Styela clava: one gene and its partners. The protein of the gene in region 2 purifies or fractionates together with the protein of the main gene of each other region. This does not show direct contact. Links are inferred from orthologs where the notes say so. Each region holds a gene or a part of one and is shown on either strand. Other genes may lie near its edges.

The links.
Region 1: the proteins of mitochondrial intermembrane space import and assembly protein 40-like (region 2) and cytochrome c oxidase assembly factor 7B-like purify together in Homo sapiens (co-immunoprecipitation; 3 studies listed by BioGRID and IntAct, with this or other methods). This does not show direct contact. The link is inferred for Styela clava from reciprocal best matches to the Homo sapiens genes CHCHD4 and COA7.
Region 3: the proteins of mitochondrial intermembrane space import and assembly protein 40-like (region 2) and mitochondrial import inner membrane translocase subunit Tim10-B-like purify together in Homo sapiens (co-immunoprecipitation; 4 studies listed by BioGRID and IntAct, with this or other methods). This does not show direct contact. The link is inferred for Styela clava from reciprocal best matches to the Homo sapiens genes CHCHD4 and TIMM10.

Annotation. Positions count from the first base shown.
Region 1 is NC_135262.1:10,210,301-10,218,385, reverse strand, and holds cytochrome c oxidase assembly factor 7B-like, read left to right. Parts: upstream 1-5,430; 5' UTR 5,431-5,627; coding exon 5,628-5,730; intron 5,731-5,878; coding exon 5,879-6,019; intron 6,020-6,308; coding exon 6,309-6,448; intron 6,449-6,689; coding exon 6,690-7,076; 3' UTR 7,077-7,167; downstream 7,168-8,085. Other genes in the region: uncharacterized protein LOC120332494, read left to right, coding at 1-67, 171-312, 772-894, 1,439-1,521, 1,668-1,808, 2,073-2,304, 2,735-2,845; NADH dehydrogenase [ubiquinone] 1 beta subcomplex subunit 9-like, read right to left, coding at 7,664-7,801, 7,866-8,021. UniProt on the Homo sapiens protein: Required for assembly of mitochondrial respiratory chain complex I and complex IV.
Region 2 is NC_135258.1:10,888,210-10,895,560, reverse strand, and holds mitochondrial intermembrane space import and assembly protein 40-like, read right to left. Parts: upstream 1,793-7,351; 5' UTR 1,672-1,792; coding exon 1,635-1,671; intron 1,559-1,634; coding exon 1,457-1,558; intron 1,018-1,456; coding exon 647-1,017; 3' UTR 634-646; downstream 1-633. Other genes in the region: pantothenate kinase 3-like, read left to right, coding at 2,869-3,096, 3,638-3,857, 5,810-6,007.
Region 3 is NC_135253.1:5,422,030-5,428,857, forward strand, and holds mitochondrial import inner membrane translocase subunit Tim10-B-like, read right to left. Parts: upstream 2,052-6,828; 5' UTR 1,947-2,051; coding exon 1,876-1,946; intron 1,717-1,875; coding exon 1,521-1,716; 3' UTR 919-1,520; downstream 1-918. Other genes in the region: uncharacterized protein LOC120326221, read left to right, coding at 1-164, 697-750; tRNA (guanine(37)-N(1))-methyltransferase-like, read right to left, coding at 4,439-4,632, 4,730-4,815, 4,889-4,987, 5,090-5,231, 5,679-5,802, 5,894-6,055, 6,492-6,636.

The sequences.
Region 1 (8,085 bases), on a different chromosome or scaffold from region 2:
TCATTCAACAACAAATTAGCACAACAATTCATAGATCCATATTGGGGCAATCTACGAACGCGAAATGGTAAGATTTGGTGAACGTATAGGATCAATTCTTGAATGTACATGTTACTTTTTAACTGGCTAGTCGTGATAATTATTGTACAACTGTCGGATAATTGCTACAGGCAAGGATTAAAAATGAAGATAATATGTGCAGGACTGCAGAAAACCGGTACAAAAACTATGGCTCAAGCATTAAGAATACTTGGCTATAATGTACATGATGTATTTGAACAGTTTTTCTACGAAAAAGAGTTGTGGGACAAGGTTGGTAATAGAGCAAGCAACGGCGGTACTCCCGTAGTGTGTGTACCAAATTGGGGTTGGGCCCTAATTTTATTCCGATTTTCCTTATTTTAGTTCTATTAGTTCGGGGACTGTCTGTGTTAGCCAAGTGAATATACAAAATTAGTTACCTCCATATTGGTACACACGCTTCTGGAGCGCCACAACAGCAGCAAGCTATATTGTCTTACGTGATTATGAATTGCTTCCTTTATAAAGACATAGGTATTCTAATAATTTGGAAGCGGATCCACTCGTTTCGAATCCAACTGTCTGAAGTACGTTTTTATATGTATGATACATATGTTTCTTGTGTCCGAATTTGTGACATTATTTCGGACACTTATTTTCAGTATTGTAAAATTTGCATCACTGCAATTTATGTGGAATTATACACTTCTGTAGCGTTATAATTTTTGCAATGTTTACATCAAATTGCAGGTTCTCGAGAACTCGGCATCCGTGGAAGACTACCAAAAATTTCTGGGAGAAATTGATGCAGTAATGGACTGGCCTGCTGTTGCTGTTTGGGAGCAAATAATGGGAGCTTTCCCAGATGCAAAAGTAAGAAAATTCAAATAAATTGGCGAATGGAAACGTAAATCACAAATGACTGAAACTGATTGCATGGATAGTATTCATTTGGTGATTATTTAAGCTTCAGGTGTCATCCCAGTTATCTCCGATCTTTTTTAAGTTACCCCAGTTTTGAATATAACATATCCGCTGAGTGACTTCGCTTGCATATAGCAGATATATTATAACAGAATTTAAAAAATCACACAGCTTCTCAGACCGCCAATGCTAGTTCATGAACTCATTTGATTGCAGGTGATTTATTAAGGTTTGGTGAATTCGACTAGTTCAGTACCATCCTATGTAACGGGATCATTCTGTTCACAACAAATGCGTGAAGTCAGATTCTAGGCGAATATATAAGATCGCGCAGATTCGACTTTCGTATGTTATATTTGGACAGATATCTGGTATTTATGAACCATGTGGTTCCGAGTTTCGTATGTGTGGCGCAACTAAGCTACAACTGACTTTACTGATATTCCTATGCGCAAAGAATAAAAAGCCTGTGATCTTATTATTTTTGTTATAGATAATTCTGACGGTTCGTTCGACAGAAGATGAGTGGTACGAAAGTATGAAAAAACATTTTGAAGTTGCAAACCAATATGTAACGTGAGTAAATGGAAGAAACTGCATATTGTAACTTATTGCGAAGTAATGATTTCTTTGACTATTCTTTTAATGAAGTAATGACTATACTTTTAATCTCCACTGTCGATTTAACCTTCAGGATTCGTATGGTATATTTATTCGTTTAGAATGAATGAAACTTTACTCAGAATACTTTTACTATTTGCGGGACCACTTGCCAGAGAATTCAATAAAACGCAAAGAGCGTTTATACCGGCCTGTCTTGGATTGCCGGTAATGTATGGATCACATACTGAAACGTTTCTGAGGTAAGTTACTGAAAATCTAATGTAGGCTATGTATGCACGATGGGCAGCTTCAATGGTGACCGTACATTTAAACCCATGTGTATATCCGCGGGTCCAATCTATTTGTGGGTGCTAAAACCCATGGGTTAGGGTTAGTATGGGTTCAAATATCCGTAAAACAAAAAAAATTTATATAGGTGCAATAGTATACAGGTGCAATTGTCGTGGGTTCAAATGTAATGGAAGTGGAACCAGCTTCAACGATGTCATATTTCACTTTCCTAGATCTCGATATCGACAGCATAATCTTTATGTGAAATCAATTTGTCCGAATGAAAAACTTTTAATATACAATGTTAAAGATGGCTGGAAGCCACTGTGCGACTTTTTGAACGTCGGATATCCGGATACGCCTTTTCCAAGAGAGAACATAAAATCGGATATGATTCACAAACTTTTGAATAATAAATGGGAGCACGATTGCGGATTCCAAAGCCGTATGGATAGACAAATAAGAGTAAGATTGGGAATAATATTAGCTGTGATGCTTGCAATATTTTCATATGTTATGTACACAGTTCTCGGATAAGAAAATTCACCGAAAACCATTTAAGTTTCAATCTTCCTAAAACTGAAATATACGTTTTTGCTGATGGAAGTATGATTGGTGGTGTATGGTTGAATTATCAGCATCATGGCGACTTGTAATTTGAAAGTAATAATTATTGTGAAAAACAAAACTATTCAATTCGATTAATTAATTAGTAGTAGTTAATTAAATATGATATTTCTGGGTATGACTTACAGCCACAGCCTTTATCATATCGTTATTAAATATTTCGTATGTGTGTAATAAGTACAAAATTTGTACCATCAATTTTATCTGTGTAATTTGTAACAATTCTAATAATCAATTGTGAAAATTAAAACAGTGCATGATCATTTAGATAAATAGTCAAAATGATTTAATCATATGGCATCTCGTTTGGTTACCAGTCCATGTTCAAATGCATGAATTAACTGCTGGAGGAAATCTTACCAACCAGCGGTTACGTTAGCACAATAAGACGACAGGAGTTTACCAATCACCTAGGACACAATTGCCTCCGACGGGATTTGATCCCACCAAGGGTGAGCATAGGTGCGATGGCAAGCATGTTCCTAACGCTCAGCACGGTGCGCCAACGTCGGTTCTGAGAAATGATTAAATGGAGCAAAATCACGAAGCCTTGAAAGTAGCTCATTCCTAACGTAACGAATGTTTTTATCGAACCACGAGCCCATCACATCGTTGGAAATTTAAAACATCATACGCAAAATGAAGCTTAAGTCTAGTTTGAGAGTCGATGAAATTTCATTCAAAATAGTTGAATATTTACTCAAAATTCCAAGACAGCCAAAGTTCTTCTTCCTCTTCTCAAAAAGGGTAGCATTTCAGATCTTGGAAGTTATAAACCCATTAGTTTCTAACGTCGCTTTCCAAAATTTTTGAAAAAATAATAGCAGAATGTCAAGTTATCGGGCGCGAAGTCAAAATTTTGTTGTTGTGTGAATTTTTTTTCTTGTTGTGTATGAAAAAACGCCGTTCTCGTTAACTACCAATTGTTTTAAATTTTCAACGGTTTAAGATTTTACCTCTGTGGTTGTGTGTGAATTGAATCAATACTTGCAGGTGAATGAAAACGTATCACTTCTTTATGACAAAACCTTCGCTTTGCCTCGCTCAAGGTCTTGCTTTTGTTTTCGTTTATTTTTTATTAATCATTTTATGCAATGCAATATCTTTCTGTATTGTTTTGTTTGCTCTCTTGATTCTATAATCAGTTTTTGATTTATTCACTTTTATCAAATACTTTATCGTCTGTTATGCGGATTATGGAATCGAAATAAAGTTATATCTCTAACTAAAAAGGGTCATGAAATGACTGCTTGATTGGTACATCTCCGCCTTTATGTATTAAAAATATATTCCGCCGATATATCATGGGGTTAGTGCCAAACTTTAGGTCAGGGTTTCCCTAACTTTCAGTTCGTCGTTACCCTTTAGACCAGTGGTTCTTAACTTGCGAGCCTGCTGAATCCCTGCCGCCGAACCCCATCGCATTGAACGGTTGAAATTATCTCCCCAATCCTAACTTTTAAAGAGGAAGTTAATTTTGTGCAAGGTTATAGAAAATGAACATCGTGTGTAACCTTAGATATATATCAATACCCCGTGTGGAAATAGCCATTGTTTTGTCACAAAAGTGTCGGCGCCAAAGGAAGCAGATGTTTTTTTCAAGTTAATAAACGTGTATATAAGTGAAAATTTGATAATAAAAAGCAACTTTGAAAATCCGAAAGATGCCAATATGCATCAAAAACGTCGGTATTTCAAGTAATTTGTTTCTCAAACTGCATTGAAATTCGGATAAAAGCGTTTGCCAATTGTTTTATTTTACGGAAATAGATATAGGATATTATATGACTAAATGTACGACATCTATGAAGTTTTCGATGAAATGTACTGGGAACAAAGGTGTTATAGGGAGACAAGTGCGTCTTAGGGATAAAGACTGTTCACCCTAATATTCAAAGTTCGATTCCCACGTTATTAATTTCACGTGTTATGGAATGTGACTCCAATCTGGATTCCCTCAGACGATAATAAGCACACGATGATGATTGTCGAATTGTTGTATATTATTGAAAAGATGCACGATCCAAATTCCAAGTACAGATAAAGTTGTATACACTTAATTCCTAATGCAGTAAGATTACGGTCAGATCCAAGTCATAAATCGAGTGAACAAGAAAAGCACAATATTATAGAGCATTCTCGGCAGACCGGAAACGATACGTTATCAAATTGGTCGAAACGAGAAAGGCAATACATGGAGCGAATGCATTATCGCTGTTGCGAAACATAATGCGGCCTAGTTTGTGAAATATTACATGCTATTAATATGAAAGGGTAAAATACATTATAATCCATAGTTACACAATGCACATTCGCTACAGTGTAACATCGACAGGTCTACTTAAACTTATATCTGCGCGAAGCTATACACACAGCTAAGCTAACTTATTATTTGTTGAAGGTGTAAGTTTGAATTTCTGAGATGAACTTCAGTTATTTTTGCATGATTAGTGGAATAGGTAATAGACAATCATATAATATGAAACTGTTTCGGAGGATCTTCGTTGAACCCCTGGAACAGCTCCACCGAACCCCATGTGTTCGATCGAACCCAGGTTAAGAACTACTGCTTTAGACAATTTAGGATTCGCTTGCGTAGCATACCCCGAAAATTGCACTGCGTGCTGTGATTGGTCAAAATAGGTCATGGGAACTACGAAAGCAAGCTTGTTAGTTACTGTGGTGTAGTTACAGCACAGATGGTTAGCATTCTTCTTCTCTGTGGTTACAGCTTCTACTTTGAATGAACTGTGACTTCCTAAAGAGTTCTTTCTTGGTAAATTATTTAAATCAGATGATAATATTGTAAGACAAATTACAAGCTATGGAAAGACTATTTTCGCACCTTATGTCGAGATGTACCCCAAATTGGGAACTCCTCCTTTAGGCATTTACATACATTCGCTGTTTTAGGAACAATTGAATGACTGCTTAGCACTTTTTAACGGTACGGTACAAGGAGCGCATGTATTGATGTTCAACATAAATTTCTTAAGAACAAATATTTTTTGTAGCAATTTTCAGGAATATTTCTTGTGGGATATTTTTCGGGTGGAATTTTTATTTCAAAGGGAACACTGCCAGGGTTAGCAACAGAAGATACCTTGCTACAAGTATACCGGTACTACCAAGCGTGATTGCGGGGCCAGCGCAAATGCGACATGGACCAAATTAATTTTAAAAATGAGGAAGAGGTGAAAGAATATTTGCAAAATACCGAGATTGAATTTATGTTTGGGTGCGAAAAAGAGTTCAATTCAGACAGTGAGTGCTGTTTTATACCTTCAACAATTTAACTTAGTGCTGCAGTCAGTGGTAAATGATAAGCTTCTTTGAATTTTTTGGGAAAACATGAAAAAATTAATACAAGTTCTCCAAAACTATTGACTAACTACTGTCTATAATACTACAGGTTGTGCCAGGCTTGGCAACTTTCTAGAAGTCGTGCGAAAGGACTACAAAGGTGCAGGCACTGCTTACAAAACATGTTGCCAAACATATAGGAATCCACTATGCTGTTACAAAGTTGGTCAATTTTATATGCTTGGAAAAGGTGAGTGACATAGGCATTACGTGTAGGATTATCATATTACAGTATTATCCACATCACTGAAAAACTGAGCCCTAGAACTGTTTTGAAAATTATAGATAGTCTCTTATGGTGTTGGGACTTTTTCATGTAATTTACATGCTGTTTTGTGTCCACTGTGTCGCAACCAAATCATATATTCCAATATATCAAAAAATGTCTATACTACTATATCAAAATTGTCCCTCTTATTGAAGTTTTGCAGTTAATCCCCATCATTTTGTACATACTTACGAGTTATATATAAATTCAGGTGGCTTGGCAAAAAGCCAGGTTGGGGCATTCGACTCTTACAGAACTGCATGTATCCAGACCAAGACTAAAGATGAAGGCAAAAATGACAGAATTGCAGCAAGCTGTTGCAACATGGGCTTGTTGTTAACGCAGTTTCCAGTGAGTAATTAGGAACGCTTAGTCAAATCAATCTGTAGAAAATTTAGTCCTTTAGTTTCACCATTACTGCATTGAATACATGTCACATTGTGGCTCTAGAACTCCTATGTTGCAAGTTGAACAAACTGGTTTTCAGCCATGTTCCTTATGTTAAAGATGATATATCAACTCATATATTTCGGATGGAGTGTTTGAGACCAATAAATCATTTTTGCATACCCAAATACCATCTTCTTTACAGAAACTAAGAGAGGAATTTTGGAACACAACAAAGGAAAAAGTTGATTATTCAAAAGCAGACTGTAAAACTGAAATCAGTAATCTACCTACTGATGCTGTACAAGCGATTCAAAGATCATGTGATCTAAATGACGCTGTGGGTTGTAATTTTTTAAGCCAATTATACATGACAGGCTTTGAAAACCTATGCAAAAAAGACTTTAAAATAGCTGCTAAATATGCTGAAAAATCCTGTGAATTAGGAGACGCAGGTGGTTGTCATAATTTGGCTCTGATGCATGAAAGAGGAGATGGAGTGCCAAAGAACCAGGCAAAAGCTGATGAATACAAAGCAAAAAAACTTGATTTGTTAAAAGGAAATACTTCACTACAATTTGGTGCGCATTAACTGTGATAGTAACGCTACATGCTGTGTTTGTGTTGTTAGGATAAAATATTGTAATAATATAATGCCGAGCCGTTCGCATCAGAAATATTTATTCAACTGGTGTCTTAACAAATTGGCGATGCTGAACCTACCACTTGAATACTCTGAAAGGCTAGGCAGGGGTTTCTCTAGAATTCAAAGAAACTAATTGTAAGAATCCGCAGCACCTGGCAGGAAAGAAGAGTTAAGCAGATCCGTGGTTCGGGTACCTCAATATGAAACAGATTGCGTAGCCTGAACAAAGGGACTCCAACCAGTGCCGTGGGTGTGCCTGAACCATATCACAGACCACACACAGCCTTGTGTCTGGTATTGTAATCGGTAACCAGTTATTTGTTTCAGATGCACGAACAGGACTAATGTTGTTAATTTGATCCATTGTAGTAGGTGCGATGCATGAAACCTCACTTGCAAGCCTATGCTAGATTCATGTCGATAACGGTTGAACCTACAAGTTAGGACCCAACAAATGCAACACTGTTTTAAGCAAGTCTCATATGCACAAGTCAAGAAAAACCTATATTTGATAGAGAGAAAAAAAGTGAAATTTAAGATGTATTTGCTGTTCTTGGAAACCATGTCATTCTCTCTGGCTGTTCTAAAGGCCTTGTAACAGTGTGCCACCAAAAAGGCGGATATCCGTCTTTCTCCTTAGCTGCTGGTAGTTGGTCAGTCATAGGAACTCCCTGAAATTAACGAGGGATGTCAGTAGAACAATAAAATGACTTAAATTCTCGAATCAGTACTCACTTCTTCAATATTTTTTTTATCCCATTCTTGCAATATTTTCATTTCTTGTTCCCAGGTTTGTTTTCGAATTTCGATCCATTTTTCTCGTTTGGCAAGGAAATCGGGAAACATAGCTTTTTCTTCTGCACTCCAAAATTCGATGTAGTGCTCAGGAATCTATTATTACGATAGGATATACTAGTAGGCACACAAAAACTGTTTTAATATAGAGGAAATGACC
Region 2 (7,351 bases):
ATAAAATGTTGCTATCGATGTTGTGGTATCGGAAATACCTCAAAAAAATTCATTCTTCCCTAATAAAGAATATTTATTTTTAAAAATCCACAGTGGAGCGAGCAGTGTTACCTATTAGTAATAACTATCTCTATTGCAAGCATCTGGTTTTAAAGTAATTTTTTGCCTTCATCTAGCGGCCTGGGAAGTATAAAATGCTCCCCCCCCCCCCCCAATCACAAAATAAACACTTAAGTGCACACCTTATATAATTAATTACTAGTCCAGGCTGCTTGCTTTTAATGCTACTCTATTTATCATTTTTTCGCATGGTGTTTTTAGGCTAGAATTAAGCACTTAAAAATTTGTTGTTTTTCAAATATATAATTTTCTTTCAACTGGGTAATGAGACTTTATTATTTTGTTAGAAAGCCGTAGTCGCAAAAGATTGGACTAGCATTTGTTCATGTGAGAGTACCGCTGAAAAGCACTTAGGACCCAGCGGCCACAATTCAGTTATGTTTAATAATAGATAAGAACAGCCCTTAGTGGGGAAACTGCACTTTGAAAGCATTCACTCACTTGTGGAATCGTGTAAAAAAATGTAACAAAGTATTCCAGAAAATACCAATCAAACTTGTCTTAATACAGAACCTCGCAAACAAACTCATTTTTCTTTAGAATCTCCGATATATGCAGCAGCAATAGCAGGTCTGTTTTCGGTCTTCATATTAACCGTTTCTGAACCATTTGAGTTCTCAATTTCAGTCTCATTTAAAGCATTAGCTTCAATATTTAAATTATCGTCATTGTCATTTTGCTTTGAAGATGATGGTTTATAAATGTCTCTATTTTCTGATAAACAATCTTCCCATTTAGAAAAGTTATCAAAACATTTTTCCGCAAAAGAATCTTGGTCGTCTCGATTTTCCACCCAACATGTGAAAGCTTCACGAAATGAGGGGCCACAAGGTCCATTTGGTAGATTTCCAAGACATGGACAATCCCAGTTTATATCTCCATTCGGAAGTATTGCGCCTAGGAATAATGAAATATTGTCAATAATTTTACAATACGATTTCATACCCATACCACAAGGCAAATGAAATACGACGAAACTATATGGAAAATCATGGTGTGTGGCCTTGATATTAGGCAGCCAGAAATAAGTACAGGAATTGTAAAGTCAAAAAGATATGCATTCGTAACAATTCTTCAATCAAGTCATATGCAATATCAAGAAAATTAAACATGAAAAATATAGCCACTACTTGATGAGGACATTAATAATGTGGTTTGAGACGGGTACAAATTTTAAGTATAGGGCAGTAGGGGTATCCACCGTTTGAATCTTATAGAAATAATGTAATTAATATGCGTCAAGCTCAAATCCCATGGATAAATTGCTTATAACATTTGATTTACGACCTATACTCGTATATTCGAGCATTCAAATAATAAAAAAGGCATTGCTAACCTTCATGGCTGGTATCTACATCGCTGGGATTATCCGGGAGAAGTGTGACCGTACTGGGACTGGACAAATCGTCCTCTGTCGCGAATATTATTATGTCTTTCCCTGAACAAACAAAACATTTTATAGTCATATTCCATGCGAGTGAGAATAGCTTTTAGATGAAATAACTGAAACTAACCTTCTTTACGGCAGTAGGACATTTCTTTTATCAGCATCCAAGCGCCCTAACTTCTAAACCGGAGCACCTGCCAGACCAGCGTGACTTTCACTGTTTGCAGTCACCGATATGCCCCAGTGGTTATTTAGACAGGGTATAAAATTAAAATTTCACAATATTTATAAAAGACATATACAATTAAATCGAATTACAGTAAAGTGTGGTAATTAAAATGTTTCTTGGGTAATTTTGTCACACAGATTAAAGTACGAAAATTAGCCATATGCATCATTTCAAACAGCCTCTAGCTTCCGACAGAGAGCAATAATTCGTACCTCATGAGTCATGATGCGCAAGCAAAGCGCGGACCGCGTTTCCCAAAATCCAACCAAAACAAAATCACCATTCAATTCGCGTTCGACAACGCCGGTATCGCGTTCTTTCGTTAATGTTACTAATGGAAATTGCATTATTACTGCATTGCCATTGAAAGACTGGGCATATTTATTATTTCAGAATACGTTGATTTTTAAACGATCTTGCATTTTTGTATTATTTTTATCGCTCCGAGATTGTGTGACTTGTGTGTACTGTGTACGGTAGTACCGGGTACTAACATATAAAATGATCTATTCAATTTGATCGTGGATTTAAATTGCTGTATTGTTAGTACGGTAACCAATGTTATTAGAGGGCTTCGAATAATGAAAATGCAATGAATACTTTGGTGGTGTGGAATTTGTCCCTCTTAAATTTAGATCAAATTGAATGTGGTTCTGAATGTAGCCTATGAAATGTCCAATTAAAACTATAACTAGGCTATATAAAATTTAGTATCAAAGTAGGCTGGCTTGATTGATATTGCAGCATTCGCCCTGTCTGTGATGCTATGAATGCATGTACTAAATTTGGATATTGGCATTAATAAGGTACGGTATCACTGTATCACCCCTTGATATGTTGAATGATGCACAACTTACAGCGGCTGAGGTCAGTAGTTTATTTTATCACATGCCGAAAGCACACATTGTACAAACATAATTAAGAAGATAAGAGAAATGCATTTCAGTGTGAAATGAGACGCAATGAACCAGTGATGGTTATCGAACAGCATCACCTAACAGCCTAAGACGGAGTCTAACATTAAATCATACTGAGAAAAAAGAGTCGAACATAGAATAGAGGTATCTATAAGGTCTTGAAGTTGCTTAACATTGCTATTTATTCCTTAGTATTTTATATTATTTATATAAAAATGGCTACAAGCGATGCCACAAATTCACCACAAGGACGTCAACCATTTCCTTGGTATGGGATTGATATAGGAGGTACTCTGGTTAAACTCGTTTATTTTGAACCAACTTCAATGACGAAACAAGAAGTACGAGATGAAGAAGAATCTTTGAAAGTAATTCGTGAAACCTTGTTATCGAGTATTGCGTATGGACAAACTGGAGTGCGGGATGCTCATTTAGAAATCAAGGTTCATGGTTTTTTGTTGCTTTGTTAATATAGCTGTATAAAAAATCATTTAAGTTATAAAATCAACACAGTTCTCCGGTTTCAAGGATAGCCCCTAGGTTAAAAGACATCAATAATAACAGTCAGTGCAAACCCCTCATTTACGAGACAATCTTGGTATTCATATTGATACAAATTGGCAAACCGTCAGTGCGCAATGAACTAAAAGGAAGCGCAATCTTGAGATGTCACCATTAATAACAAGCTATTGTGAATTAATAGGAATTGAATTTGTAGAATGTTTGAGATAAACATTGTTTTGATTATTACCGTAATAGTCTTTTTTACAGCACGAGGTAAAACTCAGTTTATTTGTTATGTGAACGGCAGAGGTTAAATTTAAATTTAAAAATATTTTAAGTTTTTTTAAAATCAAAAATGTTTACTACCGTACTTTTTTAAATTTTCCATTGATTTTGTGCCCCCTGTTTATAGTTTTACTTTTACCATGGAAGAATAATCAAACAATGTCCCTGGTTCTCTAACAGTTTGATCTTTTTCAGGGATTGAAATTCAACGGTTATGTTGGCAACATGCACTTTCTTCGATTTCCAACACACAGGATGGATAGTTTTATTCGAATGGTCAAAGAGAAAGAATTTTCAACCATGCATAATATATGTCATGCAACTGGAGGAGGAGCTTATAAATTTGAAGAAAAATTTTTGAAGGAGATTAATCTAAGACTCAACAAGTTGGACGAATTTCAATGTCTGATAAAGGGTAATTAAAATTTTTTTTGTTTACTAATTCTGGTAGTTTTAACGAGGTTTGATTTTAAATTTTTTTCTCATCTCTTTCAAGTATTTATATTTTATTCTATTTTGGTGACATATTACACATTATGTTGAACACACTCTAAAATAAAATGAATGTGATTCTTGTAACCTAATCTTGTCGTTGTCGCATCAGCTCTTGTAGCACAATCAAAAATTTATGATTCAATGGGCTAAATTAATTACAACTCTTAAACTTAATTAATGCGTTGCTATTTTTATCAACTCAATAAAGACGAGAAACCTACATGAAAGTTCCTCGAAACAAGAGCCTAGCTCTTAGACTAGAAATTCCCCAAATTGCCCTTCAGTCTGTCAATTGAAAATTTTTCCACAAGTACCCTTCAATGGCTACTCATCATATATGGTAGTTGCTATATTGAAGAAGTTAATAATAATCAAATATCTTTAAATACACCCTAGATCTAAGTTAATGTTGATATGCCACGAACGACGAACCAAATAAAAGATTAAAAATTTGTAAAGATAGCACATTGCAACTTTGTAGAGAACCCCTAAATATTTCCAAAGATAGTTTAATTATGTGCCTAGCTACAGTTGAGGTAAGCGGGCATTTGTGTTTTGCAGGAATGTCTTAGTGTATTATGGAACTTGACAAAAATCAAGATTTTTATAAACTTTTTGTGGTAGCAATTATGGTTTCAATTAACGAAGTTAGATTTTTGCAAATAGCTTATTGATAAAACTGACATATTTTAATAATACCGACGTCATCATGTTGAAATAGCTTATTAATAAGATATGTTTGTTTGCTAGAATGGAATAAACTCGCATATTATGTAAATTGTTGTCTTTCTTCTTTGTCTCATATTTTGTTCTCATATTGTGACCAAATATACCAATTGATATTTTCAATTTTTTGCGGAAATATTTCAATTTTAATTAGTACGTTTTCACTTGCGTGTATGACAGTTTATAATTTGATATTGAGAATAGCCAGATTTTTTTTTCATCCATTGTATGTAATATACAGTTGGAGTTCCTTAGTTAAGGTATACTTTTGCCAACATACCACTAATACCAATGAAATTATGAAGAACATACATCATTCCAACTATGATTGCAGCACGACACCAGTTATATTACCGGTACTATCTTTTACTATATGCACCTAAGAATATTATGTAGTTTCAAGTATTGATTAAGAGCCTTAATATGTGTTATGCTCCAAGAAAAGAGTTCCGTGCCTGTACATCTGTCTCTTATGTTTTTGTTCTGATCGATCAGGATGTATACTGCAAGTCAATCCTTATGAGATGATTTTTGTTTGTTTTAATAAGCCTCGAAAGCTTTTATAAACAAGTTCAATGTTGCATTGTGAGGATTCTTTCATTCGTGGTAAAATTTAATATTGTCGTATTATTCATTTTAGTCAAATTCAATACATAGGAGTTTGTTGATTTCATATCATGGAATTCAGCTTTCAAATTTGAATTTCATAATATTAATAAGTTCAATAAATAACATACTAAAATACGATGTGAATTCACAAGATATGTCAAATTTTTCAAGTATTTGACATTGTTATTTTGCCAAAGGGCCAAAATTTTAAGAAAATACTGTAACTAAGCAAAAATTCAAATATCATTTAGATATTTTCAAAATTTTTTCAAGCCCTTAATAAATAGTGAATGACTAACTAATATTTTTTGCTGTTGTGGCATGTTTTTACTGTGTTTTTTCATAATGCATATTAGTTTAATGTCATAAATGATTTGTGGATAACCGTCGGTTATATTTGTGCTAAATAAATAAATTTGCTTTTATGCAACTTCAATGGTTCATAGTTACTCTAGATTGGGATATCAGAATTAATTGCTCTTTAAATACAACTGTAAATACTTTGTTAATAAGTAACTATTTTACTGTTTTCGACAGGAATTCATTTTATCGACCACAATACAGAAGTCAATGGAAGATCTGAATGTTTTTCTCTTGCACAACCCCTAGACCCTGGCGGACTGAAAAAAGAACCATACAATTTCCGAAATCCTTATCCTTACCTCGTCTGCAATATTGGATCGGGTGTGAGCATAATGGCGGTATATTCACAACAAGAATGCAAAAGGGTTTCAGGTATTGTGATGAAGAATTTTGGAAACAAAAAAAAAATTCAGTTGATTACTTAATTTTCACTGTGTTTCAAGTTTATTCTATCGTTTGCGGAAATTGTATTGTGCGTGCTAAGGTATTTTTGAAGATCCTATATCTAGTAAATTTGGTTAAAGAACTTTGATGTACTTCTCGCAACTGAAGGTGTATCAAATGAAGTAAAAAAAACACCAAAACTGATTAAAATAAATCAAACCTGGTGAAGATATATTAAGGAGTAACTTCATAACAAAATTTGATCGAGACAAGAATACGTATTAGCTTATACCAAAACTCTTATTCACTCTTACGAAGTTACGATTTTTCCACACACAAGTGACTTCTCATTATAGGCTTTTTATAGAGTAAAAGTGCACAACACTTACAAAGTTTTGTAATTGAAGTGTTTTACTATCGAGTGTTCTATATCATTTTTGAAGTGGTCATTGTTGTTTGATCTGTTTTGAGATATAATTGAAAATTAAACGTAATTTTATTTTAGATTAGTCTCACAACACAATCACATATCAGGATACCATCATATTTAGTACAAAATAAACTAGTATAGGTATATACTGGGAAAATTTTTGTGGGCGTGTAGGCGTGTCAGTGTCGTTGACTATCACAAGTGTAATGTTTTTATAGCAACCAATGAAATTACTTTTATAATCATGAAAATGGAGGCGTGTTTGAATTCAAGTTGTTAAAATTAACGACTGTTCCCCATTGTTACTGTCTAATCAATGAAATCCTTTGTTAAAATTTTTTATATTTGACAGGTAGCAGGGTTAAAAGGATTTTATTATTTGACTTCAAATAAATCTCTATCAGTGAGAGTATTTTAATATCTGAATATGTATGGTACAGGCTTTAGAAATTGTAAAAAAACTTGTTATGTCATAATGACAAATGCTTTTTACGGAGCAAATACCTATATTTTATTTATTTATCGCTGTGATATCTGAATTATTTCATTACATTATTTATTTTAAAGATGTAAAAAAGTTTATTTCCGTCATTAAACTGTTGAATAGGCACCTATCATTATCTATTCTCATCTATCTTTATCCTATCCCTATTTTGCTAATGGAATTTGGGTACTCCTGTAGTGTGTGTACCAGGTTAAGGTTAGGCCATAATTTTATTCCGATTTACCTTATTTTAGTTCTATTACGAGTTTGGGGACTGTCTGTGTTAGCCAAGTGAATATACCCCCTGCCCATAGGCTTCAGTCCCTTTACACAACTTGATGTAAAATTTGCGAACAAAATTAGTTACCTCCATATTGGTACGTACACTTCTGAAGCACCGGAAATTGTATCCATTTTG
Region 3 (6,828 bases), on a different chromosome or scaffold from region 2:
TGCGAGAGGAAAGGTCACACGAAAAGCACAGGGCAATGTGTATAAGAGCAGGAGTGAAGCCAGGAATAAGGAAAGCAACTTCAAGTCCAGGGTCAAAAGTAGCATCAGTAAATGCAACATATAACAGATGGAGAGTAAACAGTGCAGAGCTGACAACAAGAAAGGTTAGAATAGGATTTCATATTATCCTGTAAGAGGGGAAATGATATCTTAGTCTGGGTTCAGATACATAGACATGTATGGTGAAGTCACAAGTGGCAGTCATAAAATATGAACCACTCTGCAAATATGAATTCTATAGACTGTATGCAGAACAATCAATATTCCCGTAGTACAGGAACCAGGGATTAGGGTCAGGCCATAATTTTGTTCCGATTTTCCTCAAGCGTTCCGGTTGAATATTACGAATTTGGGGACTGTCTGTGTTAGCCAAGTAAATATACCCCCTGCCCATAGGTTTCATCAGTCCTTTTATACAACTTGATGTAAAGTGGGCAAACAAAATTAGTTGGCTCCATATCGGTACATACACTTCTGGAGCGCCCAACAAACCATGAAAATTGAGTAAACTGTAATAACCAATTTGGAAATTCAGCGGTGTGAAAGTACTTATTGGATAAGAAACCCAATAAGGTGAGCAATAACTTATGTGAAAGGCTCAAACATTTACTTTGTCTATTTTTTAATTTTTTACAGGACATGATATTAACAAAGTGGGAAGAGAGAGAAAAAAGAGAATCCCAGTTTTAAAGCATTGCTAAACTTGCATTATTCATACATTATTATATTGACCGTGATCTGTCATTACCTATTTATGTTCAATTATTTTTCATATGTTATTTGTATATACCTTTTGACATATAACTTATTTACACTGTGTGAAAGTGGAACATAAGTGCCAAATGAATACCTCCATAATAACATTTAGGTTCAATTTTAATAAATATTAAAACAATACAAAAAGTTTGAACAACATATTAGAATGGCTAATTTGCACAAAAATACCACACACACAGAACACTGGCCAACTGGAAATGCACAATCTAATTTCATGACAACCGTTCCTACATCACCGCTTAGACTTGCAATGTTGTGCAATAAGTTATGGGCGACTCTGTGGTTATCCAAATATTTTCTATAACTTACATCGCTGATGCGCTGTATTATCAAAGAAACAAATTTATTGTAAATAAATAATAGGCTGGTTAACAAAATGATATTCAAGATCCTACTTTTAATTACGCTTTATTAAACAGTGTAACTTGATTTCATAGAAGCTTTACCTTTGTTGGCGAAAACCTGCCAAAAAGCCTTGCTTTCGATATCCAGAACTATAGATTCCTAAACTGTCTTTATACGCACAAACCAAAATACATATATGAGAAATGCCGTTATGCAGTTTTATCAAACAACATGTGCAATCTCATATAACTCCTTGTTGAATAATTGCATGTGTCTTGCACCAAGAATATTATCTGTTTGTAAAGTTACACAGCTTATCACATTATAGGCTGTTTTTATCAATTAGGTTGTTGTTGCATTTTCTTCATTGTTTCATCTTCTACTTGTGAAGCTTCTGTTAATTTTTTGCCAATTGTTTCATGAATCTCAAAATATTTGGCGATGCAACGATCCAAGCAAACAGATTCCCCTTTTTGTAGTTCTGCTTCGTAGTAGCTGGTACTGATACATTTCTTCTGACATGCCGATGACATTCTGGTTAAAAAAAGTCATTATATTTTTAGTGAATTTAGTCCAAATGTCATCTATAAAAACACAAATAAATTCAAATATTGCATCGATTGCATAAAAGGCGTGACTAGGATTAGCTGCATACCGTGTTGAAGTATAGGTGTTAAATAATAAATATCTTACCTATTGTACATATCAGTCATCATTTCAACTTCAAGCTCAGCAGCCAATTGTTGTTCAGGAGCTACATTCATTGTTTGTAAATATTGAAGAGCACAAATACACTATTTAAAAAATGAATTAGACTAGAATGCAGAAAAAAAAGTTTGTTCTGTTGTTTGGAACACCTGTGACAATGTAAAATTTGAGCAGAAAACAGTAATAATTTGATTCAGCATTTTAACGGTATATAGGCATAGGAAGTTTTTTTTCAACGTCTCTTGGCCTAATAATATATGCATATCGCATATATTAACATATACTGATATAGTAAAGTGAAAATCAGATTGCATTTACATTGAAAGACAAAGTTCTGGTAATAAATGATAGTATGTGACATACGGTATTCGAATAAAGCTCTTAGCCTCAATACCTATGCTCCTTTTTCAGAGATGGAAATGAAGCCCCAAACCCAGACATGAACGCCTCTAAAATATACTAGGCAACACCAACTGTACCTCGATATACTGCATAAGTTAACAGATAAAATAAAAACTCTATTACAGCTTTCATGCACTAAGCCCATCTGTGATTGAATTCTGGCGTCTGGTATAGTTCAGTACCACATGTACTTCTAGTTGACCTGGCTCAACAATTTTTGCATATGTCAATCCTAACCCCCACCTGACTACGTCACCGAAATATTACGTCATTTCGACGTCACAGTGGCGTAATAAGGCCCACCGAAGTATGCGGATGCTCGTCCAAAACGCACAGACCATCACCCGAAATCGAGCAAGCAATTTCTCTCATTTTCCCGTCACAACGGTCACTATAGGAGAGAGATCGCCGGCTTTAGCAAGTTCGTTATCGGCGGCGCAGATGTCATTTCGGGCGATCGTAATTATACTTTGGCAATCCCTATGACGTGAGGGTGACGTCGTAGTGACGTAATTTTTGGATGACATAGTCAGGTGGGGGTTAGGAATAGCATATGCAAAATTCGTTATGCTACGCCCACCGGAAGTACTTGTGGTACAAAACTATACCGTACTAAACCCGAATTCTGAGGGTTAATAACTCACCAAGGCCAGACGGCACCTGGGCAATACTGCCATATGAATACCTATGGCGTCATGAGTATCTCTTGTATTTGGACGATCACAGTAGACCTATGAAAATTGGTCCTTGAGTAGGATAGTTGCAGCAAATCTAAATATGGAGAAAATCACCGAAAACAGAAGTGTAACTGCGAAATGGACTATAGAAGCAACACACGTGCGAATCTGCGAGACTGAAATGGAATAATAAATTTCGCAAAATTACTATACAATTCCATAGATGCCAGATGGCAACGGGTATATCAATTTTGGGATAAACAATGATTTAAACCAAAAAACAATGATTAAATTCAAAAACAATTTGAACAAATTTTTTAGAGAAACTTGAATATTTATACTATTTTGAATATAAATTGAACTATTTTCAAGTCAGTGCTTCCTACAATTGCCACGATTCAATCTACAATCTGGCTGAATCTACTGAATTTGTACCAAAACTTGTTGCGCAATCGTTGTCGTGTGCGCCAGCGTAAACCAATAAATTATTATAAATAGCACATGGCATCTCTGGGCTGGTGCACCCACGTCTCAGGAAAGCCTGATTTTTGTTTTACAGATTTAAACTTTTTGATGACTAGACTCGAAAATATTCGAAACAATTCCGCGACATATACAAATTGCATTGCTAACCTGTACATTTGAAGTTTCTCGTCTAACGACGTGTTATTTTTGTTAAAATTTGTCGCCTAATTCGGGTCCTCTAAAGCGATAAAAGACAATATTGTAGGCGAAAACAGATAACTAAATTGCAGAGTAACCTAGATGGAGGACATAATTTAGAATTAAGTTAGGAAATTGGTGGATAGCGTACGATCTCAACTACCAACAAACCAAGCACACAAAATTTATACTCGATTCAAAATTGGGCATCTGAACATCCTGGTTCCAAACCGATTTTTGTTCAAAACATTCGCCTCCAGTCACTGGTCAGAAGACAGATTCAAGTAACTGCATTAACTTAACAAGATACGATATTAATTTCAAAACTCATTCTCTGTTAATCTAAATTTGATCATATTCAGAATTTAATTTCTACCATTTGTCACATGTCAGAGTTGAAACTAAATTATTGTCCCTGGCTTTCCCGGAAAAAAATCTCACTGGACTGTGAAAACCATTCGCATCAGAGACATCCACGACTTCACCGCCAACCACTGTTACTCATCAAGCCTAAAGTTCATCTGAAATCGTCATCAAACATGTATGTTATTATCCTTTTCAAACTGCATAGATGTAAGACACGCTAGTTTACAGACAGTGTACACACACAAGGCCTCTGCAATCCATATAGCTGCAGTCCAGTGTGGTTATAAGGCAGTAGAAAACACATGGATATAAAATACTGCATTTTATCAGGATTGCCTTCCCTCAAATTTAAATATGAAAATATGAGCAGCTCAGTGTATTTATCGATATAAAATGTGTGCATGATTGCCTTTTCCAAATTCAACATACAAAAATACGAACTATGATAGTTTTATTCTTTTACATTCCGATTCATCAGTATCACCATTTTTTGATTGTTCATATAAAAGAGAAAAAGGAATTTCAAAAGATAAACAAAGCATGTATTTTCCTGGTGCAACTTTTCTGACTTCCCGAATACTATGTTCAGGAAGATTTTCACTGAGGCTTTGTTCTGCTCTCTCTTTAATATCACCTAAAATAAATACATATTTAAGAATAGTAGTAGTGCAAAAGATTGTGTCAGAAAGTCTTAAATTTGACAAAAAGCCTTAATTATATAGGAATCATACCTTTTAAATCTTGAGCAGATGAAAAAGCATAACAATAAACAGTCACTGGAGGTAATGAACTTGATGTCTTGTTGTCTTCAGCTCGACTAAATGATAAAATATTATTGAATTAAATTAAACATTCCGATTGCTAAACCGTTCCTTATCAATGTTGCATACTTAATATTCTTGACCAATCCTGTGAATGCATCTAAAAATTCTATTGCCAGTGCCGGTAGATTCATTATAACACATATTGTCTCTGTTTTTGATGACAATCTATAAAAGTTAAAATGCAATTGATAAGATAGATGGGTTAATTCATTTTCAGTCACCATCCCTGGGGTATTGAATACTAGTGGTAAGATACCTAATACTTACTGCAAATGTTTTCCCAAGCATTCTTTGATAAACTTTCTGCCATCCATATTGAATGCATTCAATTTCGCTTTATTTAGTTTTGAATTGTGTAAAAGCCATTTGTATGATTCTTCATTTAAGTCATTTGCATATACTTCACAACCTGTTGCCATAATCAAATTCATTTTCATAAACTCATAAAAAAAAAAACTTGATTTCAGTAAAATGGAGGGGAAAACTGCTACAAAACCATTTAAATAGAGAATCTAACAAACTTGAAATGTTATTTGAGGAACATGTTCACTCTCAGCATATAGGGTCGTAGCTTGAAACTTTTTCTTTATTCTGAAATGTATTACAGTGGTGGATGAATTTTAATAATTTTGCATATCCCATTTTTGAAGTACGAAAATTTAATAATGGAAAACAAGATCATTATAATTTATATTCATGCCATTTCCAAAACGACAGCATGATACAACTTACAAAAGTCAACAAAATAGCAAATACATAAAAATATTTTGTAAAAGTGATAACGAAAAATTGTCGAATTTAAACCCTTTGGGTAGTACTATCAGCGAGTTCTTTGATTGGTAGTTTACCTTAATACCTTTTTTGGCAAGTGGTATGGAGAAAGGTCCAACTCCTGCAAATACATCAAAGACAACAGATTCCTTTGGAATCAACTCCACTATTCTCTGATGCTCAGTTTGCAACTTTGAATTCCAGAAAACCTGAATGAAAAAGGGCTCCAGAGTTTAGATACTCGTATGTGAATAGAAAACTACAGTACTAATAAATTCTGCATCATTACTAACAACAAACCTTTGAAAAATCGAATTCGAAAATATTGCCATATTCAATTATTTTGGTAACAAAATTTGCTTCACCGGCAATAACCTCCATTAGGAAATTTCTGTATGTATTGTCAATAGTTGAAGATTTATTCACGACAGTTGTGATTGCTTTGTGTTTGTCAAGAAGTACCTGAAAATAAGGTTTTGATAACAATCACATTTGCGAGTTAGAATGAGAATTATTCCTAATTATTAAACCCTTCTGAAATAATTTATCAAAGTACAGTCACAACTCACAATAATTCACTCAATTGATCTAGGGCAGATGCAACATCTGTAGTTGCACATATATTCATGTTAAACTTGAATATTGTCGGAGGCATAATGTTACAAAGTGATTTAAAAACCATTTTGAAAAATTCCAGAAAGAACCATAATCAACATTTATGAGCTTTGAATGGAGAGAAAAATATGAGTTTAAATATGGTAAAAGCAGTCAATTAATAATCTTCATCAAACCATTTCAGAAAATTAAGCTGGTTAACATTTGCATGAGATTGTCAAAATAGTAACCGTTGCTCGATATATCAAACTAATAACAAACTTCAATCCAAGATATAACTAACCTGACCAATTAATTTCTTGTATGGCATTTGATGTTCTAATAAATTGACATGAATGATATGACCGACTCGTTCAAAACCCGATGTTGAATCTAGTCCTTCAGGTAATACTGCACCAATAATTTCTTGGTGCTTGTATACATCATACCTGTAATATATTGAAAATATATTTACCAACAGGTAAACAAGGCATATGTTTCAATGATATGCATACAGTCAATTTTAAGTTCATTGCACAATAAAAGTCATTCCATATGGCTTTGTTTTGTGAGGTTCTTTCTATTTTGGTACAATTTAAGTCTTTGCATCTGAGACAAGTTAACTATTTTCATACACAGCA